3 linked regions of the Callithrix jacchus genome follow. Each later gene encodes a partner of the first gene's protein in a complex. Links are inferred from orthologs where the notes say so. Each region holds a gene or a part of one and is shown on either strand. Other genes may lie near its edges. The genes, in order: CDHR5, CDHR2 and ANKS4B.

Region 1 (2,625 bases):
GGAGGGGGGCTCCTGCTCGGAAACTTGGATCTCAATGACTGTGGTCGCAGTGCCCAAGCTCACTGTGTTGTTGGCCTCAACCTGGGGCAGGAAGGGGCTTGTCCCTCCTGGGTTCCTCTTTAAACCCCACGCCCTCAGAGACATCCACCTGCCCTGCCATTCACCTCTGCATAGAAGGTCCCCGCCTGTGGCAGTGCGATGGCGGTCAGCACAAGCTCTCCCTCCATCCGGAAGTGAGAGTGGTTGCTGATTCGATACGTGATGGCCGAGTTGAGGTCCTGGAGAGAGGGCCTCACTGAGTTCCCGGCCAGGCTGCCTCCCACATGCAGCTCTGACCCGCCCACAGCGTGGAGGGCAGATGGGCCCCGGGACCCCGGCAACAGGAAGGCAGCCGGACGGGGCAGCAGGCTTGGCATGCTGCCTACCGGGAACTCCGGGTCCTGAGCCTGGATCCTCAGAGGCTGAGAGGGGGCAGCTGCATCCTCGACCACAACACCTGCTCCAGAGCCAAGCGCCACGGTGCCACGGTACAGGCTCTGGGGGAAGTGGGGTGGGCTTCCGGCTGCAGCCACAGCCCTCACGGTGACCTGGGTCACGGAGTAGCGGGCGAGGTCAGCCTGCTGGCCCTGGAGGCGGGGAGGTAGCACTGGTGGGGCTGAAGGTAGAGCTGGAGCCTGGGGCTCAGGAAGGCAGGTGCATATTGGAGGGACCCCACCCTGCCCCCTGTGGAGGTGCCCACCTCACCTTCACCAGGAGAAGGAAGGTCATGGGGCTGGGTACCCTCCTGGCCATGGTGAGGTTACCGGAGTCTGCGTGGATGACGAACGTGCCATTCACATTTCCTGGGAGGTGGAGGAAGTGCTCAGCTCCGGCCCCCTGGGGCTCAGGGACCCAGTCAGCTCTGCCTAGCTGGCAGGTGGCCCGAGGGCTTCCCTAGCCCCAGGTGGGGACAGAGACAGGGTCAGAGAGGGGTCCAGGGTGTTGCTGCGGGCTGGGCCCCACTCACCATCCTGGATGCTGTAGACGATGCGTTGGTTGATGCTACGGTCTCCATCCTCAGCATAGATGGGTCCGGGACGCAGGACGAGGGGGGACGGCTTCAGGGATGGTGGAGGGGAGGGCACATTGTGGGGTGAAGTGGATGGCCGCAGCCTGGCCCCTCTGGCTCCCCCCAAGGTCAGCCAGGGCAGGGCTGGCCGAGGAGGGGCCTGTCACTCTGGTGGCTGGGCATCCTTGCCTGCCTAGGACGTCGCTGTCCCAGCATCACAATCAGTGACACCCCCGTGGTTCCCTTACTATAAGTCAAATTGCCCAAAAATATTGAGACCCATTTGCACAATGCTTGTCTTGACAGGTAAGAAAACATTTAGAAAGGGTGGGACCCTCGGGGTCTGCATTCCACCTTTTACCAGCCCTTTGGTGACACAGGCACGGGTTCCCGCTGCCCCCGGGTGCCTTGGTGCCATGAGGTCTACAGGCAGCCAGTGTGGCCTCAGTGGTGACTGTGAGCAGGGCAGAGCCGTCACCATCCCTTGAGAGCTCCAGGCCCTCAGCCCACCTCCCCGGGCCCCCAAGACCCCCTGGCTCCAGGCAGGCCACGCTCCTCTCTGTGTGGAGATTTGCTCCCTCACCACCTCAAGATGGGAAGGATTGGTTTACAAGGAGAGTCTGTATTTGTTTCAAAATCACAACCAAAATTGGCTTCACCCCAATTGGTCCGACCCTTTCTGGGTCCTGACCCTGACCCTTGCCTCCCGCCAGCCTGGGAGTCTCCACCCTGTGGACTGCCCCTCCCTCCCCATTACCAGTATGTGCCCAGTAGGGACGGCCCCGAGGTACTGGGCTTGGATGCAGACGTAGCCGTCTGAAAAGCTGCAGGGCAGGAACCACGGGGGCCGCAGGTCGGCGGGCACCACGTTAAGCACCAGTGTGGCGGTGGCCGTGTGGCTGGGCTCCACGTGCTCCTCCGGGGTGTCCTGTAATGGCCGGCTGTGCTGGATCAGGCCTGGGAGCAGCTGGGTCCGGGGGCCGCAAGTGTCTGGGACTCAGGGGTGGGGTGACGTGCTCACCCGCACCAGTAGCCGGAAGGCCATCTTTGGCCGCTTATCGAAGTCCAGGGGCCGGTCCAGCCTCAGGGCAGGACGGTTTGCACCCACCAGGGAGAAGTAGTCACTGGCACCCTGGAGAGGGTCGGGGGGACAGAGCCTGAGAGCCTGGGAGGGCGAGGGTGGCCTCGGGTGTCAGAGGCAAGGGGCCTGTGCTGGGGGGACAGGGTGGGCAGCACTGACTGTGGTCTCTTCCTGGAGGGTGTAGAACAAGATGTCATTTGCGTCTGGGTCCTTGGCCTCCAGTTCCGTCTCTGGGATGACGATGGAGGTCACTTTAGTGTCCTGGGGAGGGAGAGGAACTTGGTCCGGCCATGGCCCCTGTGGACCCCACTGTGACTGAGCCCCCTGCCCTCACCCCGGGCTCCCACGCCCCCCATGCCCAGCCCCGGCGGCATCACTGGCCTCACCTCCTCCACACTTATCTCCTTGGTCATAAAGGGAAACTCAGGGGAGTTGTCATTGACATCCAGCACTGACACGATCACCCTCATCTGGGTCACCTGTAGGGTGTGGCCGT
Region 2 (3,651 bases), on another chromosome or scaffold:
TACCTGAAACCCTCCCGCCACCATTGAAAAGCAAAGGGGGGGGGTGAAAAGCAGTATTGCTGCTGTATACTGCACATCAGGGCATCCCCCAAGGTTGGGCTGGTTATTACCATTTTGTTTCTATCTATCTGTCTATCTATTTTGAGATGGAGTCTCACTCTGTCGCCAGGCTGGAATGCAGTGGCACGATCTTGGCTTACTGCAACCTCCGCCTCCCAGGTTCAAGTGATTCTCCTGCCTCAGCCTCCCAAGTAGCTGAGACTACAGGTGAGCACCACCACACCTGGCTATTTTTTTTTTAAGTTTTACCATGTTGGTTTTACCATGTTGGCCAGGATGGTCTCGATCTCTTGACCTCGTGATCCACCTGCCTCGGCCTCCCAAAGTGCTGGGATTACAGGCGTGAGCCACAGCACCCGACCCCCTGGTTAACTTTTTAATTTTTGTTGCCCAGGCTGGTCTTGAACTCATGAGCTCAAGCAATCCACCTGCCTTGGCCTAAGTAGCTAGGACTAAAGATGCATGCCACTATGCCTGGCTAATTTGGCTAATTTTTAAAATTTATTTTTCATGGAAACAGGATCTTATTGCCCAGGCCAGTCTTGAACTACTGGCCTTAAGTGATCCTCGGATTCCCAAAATGCTGGGATTACAGTCATGAGTCACTGCACCTGACCTATTACCATTTTATTGATCAAGCAACTGAGGCAGGGCTGGGTGCAGTGGCTCACACCAAAAATCCCAATACTTTGGGAGGCCAAGATGAGAGGATTGCTTGAGCCCAGGAGTTCAAGACTGGGTTGGGCAACATACCAAGACCCCATCTCTACAAAAATAAAAAATTAGCCAGGCATGGTGCCATGGACCTGTAGTCCCAGCTACTCAGAAGGCTGAGAAGGGTGGATCGTTTCAGCCCAGGAGGTTGAGGCTGCAGTGAACTATGTTCATGCCACTGCAATCCAGCCTGTGAGACAGAGCAAGACCCTGTCTCAAAAAAGAAACTGAGGCACAGAGAGGTTCAGTACCTTGCCTGGGGGAGTCACAAAATGGGGTTGTGACTCCAATCAATCTGGTTCTAAGGCTGCCACCAGCCCACAAGTCACCTTCCTCTGGAACAGTATTGTAACAGGTATGCACATAACCCTACATCCTCTAGGGTTGTGCAGTGCACACCCTGCACCACTGCACATAGTAGCCCTGTGTCCCTTGGATTGGGATGCACCATTTTCACGCAAGGATCAGAGAGTAAGACCTCAGAAATAGAGAAACTGAAGCAGAATGAGACCTTGCTGGTTGTCCTTGGGGTGGGAGGGCTGCAAAGAGAGAACTTCATTTCCTGAGTGAACAGATTTCTTCACCTCTGTGAACAGTCACAATTGCCCTATTAGTGGGGCTACTACCCCATTTTGCAGATGAGGACATTGAGGCCCAGAGTGGTCAAGGATACACATGAGGCAGAGGTGGAGCAAGATGTGACTCAGCACTCTCAGCCACTCCTGTGAGCTAGGGCAAACTTGAGAATGCAGCTGGTCTTGTGCATGGAGCCGTGATGCCATCTCTGGGAAATGAGCAGTAGAAAAGACATATAGCTAAGGTGGAAGAAGGTTGTCTTCCAAATGTTTGTCTAGGGTTATTCAGAAAAACAAACACCTATGATGTGACCCACAAACCCAGGAAAGGCTGGAGTACTCAGGGCATTCCCCCAAGCACATGCCAGTGTTAGGGGACAGAGGGGAGGGCAGAGTCACCTCCAGGTTGTGACAACAGTTGCAGGGCTCCAGCTGTGCCTGATGGGCTAGGGCTGGCCACAGAGGTGAGAGCCAAAAACAGCCAGTGTCCGAGGCAGGAGCAGGTCTAAGCTTCTGCAGGTCCCAGAGCCCAGCTCTGCCTGAGCACAGAGCAGGTGTTGTGGGCTCAGTTGTATGCAGGAGGGACAGGGTAGGATGGGACAAGGGAAAGTGTGGGCCTTGGAGCCTTCATGGACACATAATGGTATTGGTACCAACACAATAAATCCAAGAGATGGGAATCAAGCTGGACCAGGCAGGGTCGCAGGGGGACCCAGAACTGTGCTTCCAGAAATCAGAGTCTAGAACAGTTCTGAGCTGTGGTCAGAGAAACTTGGCCTTTCATATCCAAGGAGGCAGGCAGGGCTTCCTGAGGATGGATATGTAAGGCCCAGCTGCCACTACAGGCCCTCGAACCCCAGAGCCCGTGTGACCCGGGCAAGTTCCCTCCTCCCAGAGCCTGTTTCCTCATCTGGGGAGTGGGCAGTGAGGTCGGAGGCACTGGTAGAGTCTGTGCCTCAGAGCACAGGGATTATTGGTTTCTCAGATTGGCTCTGGGGAGGGTGAAATGGATCCAGGGACGCAGACCTGTCTCTGCCTGCAGGACATCAATGATAACCTGCCTATCTTCAACCAGTCCAGCTACAACTTTACAGTGAAGGAGGAGGATCCAGGTATGTGTTCCCTGGGTCAGGAGAGGCACTAGGGCTGGGGCCCAGTGTGTCTTTGTTAGGGTGGACCTGGAGTGCCAAGAGAGGCGAGGGCAGAGGAGGCTTCTGATGGTGGGGCCACGAGTCTGTCTGAGCTCTGTCCCTTGTCCATAGGAGTGCTAGTGGGCGTGGTGAAGGCCTGGGACGCAGACCAGACGGAAGCCAACAATCGCATTAGCTTCAGCCTGTCGGGGAGTGGTGCCAACAACTTTATGATCCAAGGCTTGGTGCTGGGGGCTGGGTGGGCTGAGGGCTATCTCTGGCTGCCCCCGGATGTGAGCCTGGACTTCGAGACACAGTCCGTCTTCAACTTGACAGTGAGTGCTGAGAACCCAGACCCCCAGGGTGGTGACACCACAGTATATGTCCTTGTGAATGTGGAAGATGTGAACGACAATCCCCCCACCTTGGATGGAGCCTCAGTCCGGGACATCCGTGTGGCTGAGAATGGCTCGCAGCATGGCCAGGTGGCTGTGGTTGTTGCCTCGGATGTGGACACCAAAGCCCAGCTGGAGATACAGCTTGTGAACATTCTCTGCACCAAGGCCGGGGTCGATGTGGGCAGCCTGTGCTGGGGCTGGTTCTCAGTGGCAGCCAATGGCTCTGTGTACATCAACCAGAGCAAAGCCATTGACTACGAGGCCTGTGACCTGGTCAAACTGGTTGTGCGGGCCTGTGACCTCACCACAGATGCCGGCTTCCAGGCCTACAGCAACAATGGTAAGGCGGCCTGGTCTTACAGGGCTTGGCAGGCCACAGCTAGGGGCTGAGTGAAGAAGCCTGGGCTTCTTCACAAGGTCTGGGCTCAGATCCTGGCTCCAGCCCTTTCCAGTTGCAAATACTGGGAAAGTCCCAAATCCTCTCCAAGCTTCTGTCCAGTGGGGTTGGGCAGTAGGTTGGCTAGGAAGAATCAATGAGAAGATCCATGTAAAGCATTTAGTGCAGTGCCTGGCATGCAGTAGCACCGAATTAATGACATTATTTTGCAAGATGCTGTGAAAGAAAGATCACACTTTAGAGCCAGATGTGTACTTGTATCCCACTTCTGACACCATATGGCAATAATAACCACATTAACAGCTAGCATATGTTGAGTCCTTATGACAGCCAAGAACTGCACCAGGCACCTTATAAGCATTTTTGCACTTCTACAT
Region 3 (4,265 bases), on another chromosome or scaffold:
CTGGGCAACAAAGCAAGACCTTGTCTCTAGTAAAAATAAAAAATAAAAGATCAGCAGAACACTTACTGTGACAGAATATTTCAGGCTTTCAAAGGAGAGAGAGAGAACACCTAACCATTACTATTCAAAATGGTCCTCAAATGGAACAAGAGCTCTCTGCTGTTGAAGAAGACCCCCAAACCCTCTTCTAGGAGGACAAACTCACTGATTGATATGGTTTAGATCTGTGAGATCTGAACAATCTCTGTGAGGGGAACAAATCTCAAATAAAATTGTAATCCCTCATGTTGGAAGTAGGGACTGGTGAGAGGTGGTTGGATCATGATGGTGAATTTCTCATCAATGGTTTAGGACTGGAATCCCCCTTGGTACTGTCCTCATGATAGTGAGTTCTCATTAGATCTGTTTTCTAGCACCTCCCTGCCTCGCTCTCTAGCTCTTGCTTCTGCCATGTGAGATGCCTTTTCCTTCTGCCATGATTAGAAGCTTCCTGAAGCCTTCCCAAAAGTAGAAGCCACTATGCTTCCTGTGCAGCCTGCAGAACTATGAGCCAATGAAACCTCTTTTCTTTATAAATTACCCAGGCATAGGTATTTCCTTATAGCAGTGCAAGAATAGACTAATACATCGATTTTAAAGTAACTGACATCTTGCAGTTTGTGGAAAGAGGTAAACTTTCCGTAGATAGAGAAAGTTGGGGAAACCTGGGCTGAGCAGGAGAAGAGGTGAGATGACTGGAGAAGGCTGGCTGATGGGGATCGATGTGTCTCCACATCAATCAGAGAAAAGGAAGTCAAATCAGACAGCAGAGACGGGAAGACCTGCTTCATGCACTTCCTCATTCAATCTTACACTCAGGAATCCTCCCAATCCTGGGTTCCTCCTAAATGTCCCCTATTTTAATAAATAGTGTCAACATCCAAATCCTGGGTCCTTAACCCTCCTTTTCCTTCATCTGCCCACATCCAGTTAATCATGATTGATTCTACATCCAAACTGCCGCTCAAAGCCAACCGCATTTTCCCATTCCCACTGCCCCTATCCTAGTCCAACTCATCTCGACCATGAAAACAGCCCCAAACCTTCTCTCCGGCCGTTATCCATCTACCTGAGTGAGTTTTGTAAACATAAATCTACTCGGGCGGCTTCCCTGCGTAAACCCAAGACATGGAATGGCTTCCTGGACCCTTAGGGTACAGTCCTTACCAGAGTTGACAAGGCTCTCTGTGATCTGGTCTTATCTCTTGGGAACTTGCCCTGTCCCCACTGCTACTTGAGCCATGTCCAGCCATATTCAGCTTCTTTACTTCTCAGAATGTAGTGTTCTGTCTTAGGAAAAACACTCTTTCATCTGGCCAACTTGTTCTCATTTTCCTAATCCCAGCTTAAATGCTTTTCCCTTAGGGAAGCCTTCCCTCACCCCTGAGATTGGGATAGATGCCTATGTTATTTAGTGCCCTCTATTTCCCGTTTTGTAACAAACATCACAGATAAGCCAGACACAGTGGCTCACATGTATAATCCCAGCACTTTTGGAGGCCAAGGCTGTCAGATCGCTTGAGCTCATAAGTTCAAGACCATCCTCAGCAACATGACAAAACCCCATCACTACAAAAAATACAAAAATTGCTGGGCATGGTGGTGCACACCTCTAGTCCCAGCTACTCGGGAGGATCAGGTGGGAGGATCACTTGAGCCTGGGGCTCAAGGCTGTAGTGAGCTATGATCACAACACTGCACTCCAGCCTGCGTGATAGAATGAGACCCTGTCTCAAACACACACACACATGCGCGCGCACACACACACACACACCATAGATGTCTTGCCTTCCCCTCTCAAATCTGATCACCATGACAGGGATTGTGGCTGGCTTTTTGATCACAGTGTGCCAGTGGCCAGCAAAATGGCTGGCACATAACAGATACTGGAATTGGATTCACTCGGCTCCTTTATTTACATTGTCCTTTTTTCTTTCCTTACTCTTCTTGAGTCACAGTCGCCAGCACAATACAGCCCTCTGATAACAGGCAGAACAAGCAGAAGAGCTAGCTAACTTCATTAAAATCTGGGCAAAGAGCGGTGTGTGTGTGTGTGTGTGTGTGTGTGTGTGTGTCCACTGGCCAAAGAACTGACAAGAGTCAAGGTAGGCTAAAGATTCCTTGTAGAGCCAGCAACTCCTTTCAAAAGGGAAAGACTCTGTGTCAAAACCAAAAAATAAAAATAAATCATGTGCTTGTACTGGGATTGAAGGTTAATAAAAGACTGGAATTTTAATGGCATAGATGAAAAAATAAACTAAAAACATGTCATTTGTTCCAACCAAATTTGACAACTTAAAACCAAGTAAAACAGCGGCCTCTTTTAAAAGAGTAAACTATATAAATTTCATGAAAACCATTTTTAAAGGCATAGAATTAAAATATCTCTTCTCTTCTCCAGGCAGATAACACTTACAGTTCAGAATCTCTCCTCTGATTGTGACTAAGGGATGAGCCACTCCCATAGTGCCAGTCCTCAGTGAGAAAAGAGAGCCTCTCTAGGTAGTTTTCTCCCTTTCTCTAAAAAGCCAATCATTTAGACAGTCTAGAAGGAGGATAAAGTATTTGTACTGACATCCCTGCCTCTTGCTGCTGCTGCAAAAAGCTACCATGAACACTGTTTCCAACTGAAACCATTGGGTTGAACTTACCCTCTACTGCAGATTATCTCTAGGGCTTCCAAGTTCCCATGGTAGGCTGCTAAGAGAGTGGGAGTCATGCCATCTTCATCCGAAAGATTTAGATCTCGCTTGGTAGCCTCTTTTAGAAGTTCCAGATAACTATCACTAGCAGCTTGGTGGTAACGAGTAGACATTTTTTCTGCTCACCAGAACTGGCCAGATATCTCTCCAGGCAGAGCAGGGTGTTGGCAGAGCAACCTTCCTATAGCGCTAGTTAATCAGTGACAAGGAAAAGTGTCACCGGGGCAAAGCTCATTCCAGCTTCCTTTCATGGAAGGCAACAAGATTCAAGGCACTGAACTTGGACCTTTTCTCTCTGGAATGGCCATGACGTTGACTACTGAAGACTGCTGTATTCATCTTGAGTGTTTTGAGGCACATTTAATTTTTCTATGTCCGTTAGTTTCTTGAGTGTAATACTGGTCATCTAGGCACAGAATGTAAGAAATTTCTTTAAAAAATGCAGAGCTGGCCGGGCGCGGTGGCTCAAGCCTGTAATCCCAGCACTTTGGGAGGCCGAGACGGGTGGATCACGAGGTCAAGAGATCGAGACCATCTTGGTCAACAAGGTGAAACCCCATCTCTACTAAAAATACAAAAGATTAGCTGGGCACAGTGGCGCATGCCTGTAATCCCAGCTACTAGGGAGGCTGAGGCAGGAGAATTGCCTGAACCCAGGAGGCGGAGGTTGCGGTGAGCCGAGATCGCGCCATTGCACTCCAGCCTGGGTAACAAGAGCAAAACCCCGTCTCAAAAAAAAAAAGAAAAAAAAAAACACCCAAAAAATAAAAAATGCAGAGCTAGTCTAGTTCACTGTTTTTATTTCCAAAAATTACAGCTTTATTGAGGTATAATACCACTAAATTTACCCATTTTATGTATACAATTCAATTCAATGATATTTAGGACATTTATAGAGTTGCATACCCATTTTCTTAATTTTCATCAACCCTCAAAGATCCCTCATGCTAAGTAATATTCCACTGTCCTAAGATACCAAATGTTCTTCATCCATTCAATATTTGATGAATATGATGACTATTTGGGTTGTTTCCATTTTTTAGCATTGACGAATAATGCTAGTATAAACACTGATATATAAGTCTCTGTGTGGACACATATTTTCATGTGCCTTGCATATATATCAAGGAGTGAAACTGCTGGGTTACATGGCAATTTATATTTAGATTTCAGAAGCTGCCAAACTGTTTTCAAAGTGGTTATATGACTTCATATTTCCACCAATAATGTATGAGGGTTTCAGTTTCTCTACCTCCTTGCCAGCTCTTATTATTGCCTATCTTTTTGTGTATGGCCATCTAGTGGGTGTGAACTGATATTACTGTGGTTTTAATTTGCAATTCCCTAATGATATTGAGCATCTTTTCATGTGCCTATTAGTCATTCTTACATCTTCTATTCAAACCTTTTAGCCCAATTTTAATTAGGTTGCCTTATTAATAAAGTATAAGAATTATTTATACACTCTGGACACAAGTCCTATATCAGATATATTTTGGACAGAATGAAAATGAAAATGCCACA

The links.
Region 2: CDHR5 (region 1) and CDHR2 share a complex: the UniProt entries of both Homo sapiens proteins name them as parts of the IMAC/intermicrovillar adhesion complex. The link is inferred for Callithrix jacchus from reciprocal best matches to the Homo sapiens genes CDHR5 and CDHR2.
Region 3: CDHR5 (region 1) and ANKS4B share a complex: the UniProt entries of both Homo sapiens proteins name them as parts of the IMAC/intermicrovillar adhesion complex. The link is inferred for Callithrix jacchus from reciprocal best matches to the Homo sapiens genes CDHR5 and ANKS4B.

The regions. Positions count from the first base shown.
Region 1 is NC_133511.1:131,271,833-131,274,457, reverse strand, and holds part of CDHR5 (cadherin-related family member 5), read right to left. Parts: intron 2,609-2,625; coding exon 2,516-2,608; intron 2,391-2,515; coding exon 2,289-2,390; intron 2,181-2,288; coding exon 2,070-2,180; intron 1,977-2,069; coding exon 1,806-1,976; intron 1,098-1,805; coding exon 1,007-1,097; intron 843-1,006; coding exon 745-842; intron 627-744; coding exon 426-626; intron 279-425; coding exon 165-278; intron 82-164; coding exon 1-81. UniProt on the Homo sapiens protein: Intermicrovillar adhesion molecule that forms, via its extracellular domain, calcium-dependent heterophilic complexes with CDHR2 on adjacent microvilli. Thereby, controls the packing of microvilli at the apical membrane of epithelial cells.
Region 2 is NC_133503.1:69,635,057-69,638,707, reverse strand, and holds part of CDHR2 (cadherin-related family member 2), read left to right. Parts: intron 1-2,391; coding exon 2,392-2,461; intron 2,462-2,611; coding exon 2,612-3,217; intron 3,218-3,651. UniProt on the Homo sapiens protein: Intermicrovillar adhesion molecule that forms, via its extracellular domain, calcium-dependent heterophilic complexes with CDHR5 on adjacent microvilli. Thereby, controls the packing of microvilli at the apical membrane of epithelial cells.
Region 3 is NC_133513.1:22,403,017-22,407,281, reverse strand, and holds the start of ANKS4B (ankyrin repeat and SAM domain-containing protein 4B), read right to left. Parts: upstream 2,879-4,265; 5' UTR 2,855-2,878; coding exon 2,691-2,854; intron 1-2,690. UniProt on the Homo sapiens protein: As part of the intermicrovillar adhesion complex/IMAC plays a role in epithelial brush border differentiation, controlling microvilli organization and length. Plays a role in assembly of the complex.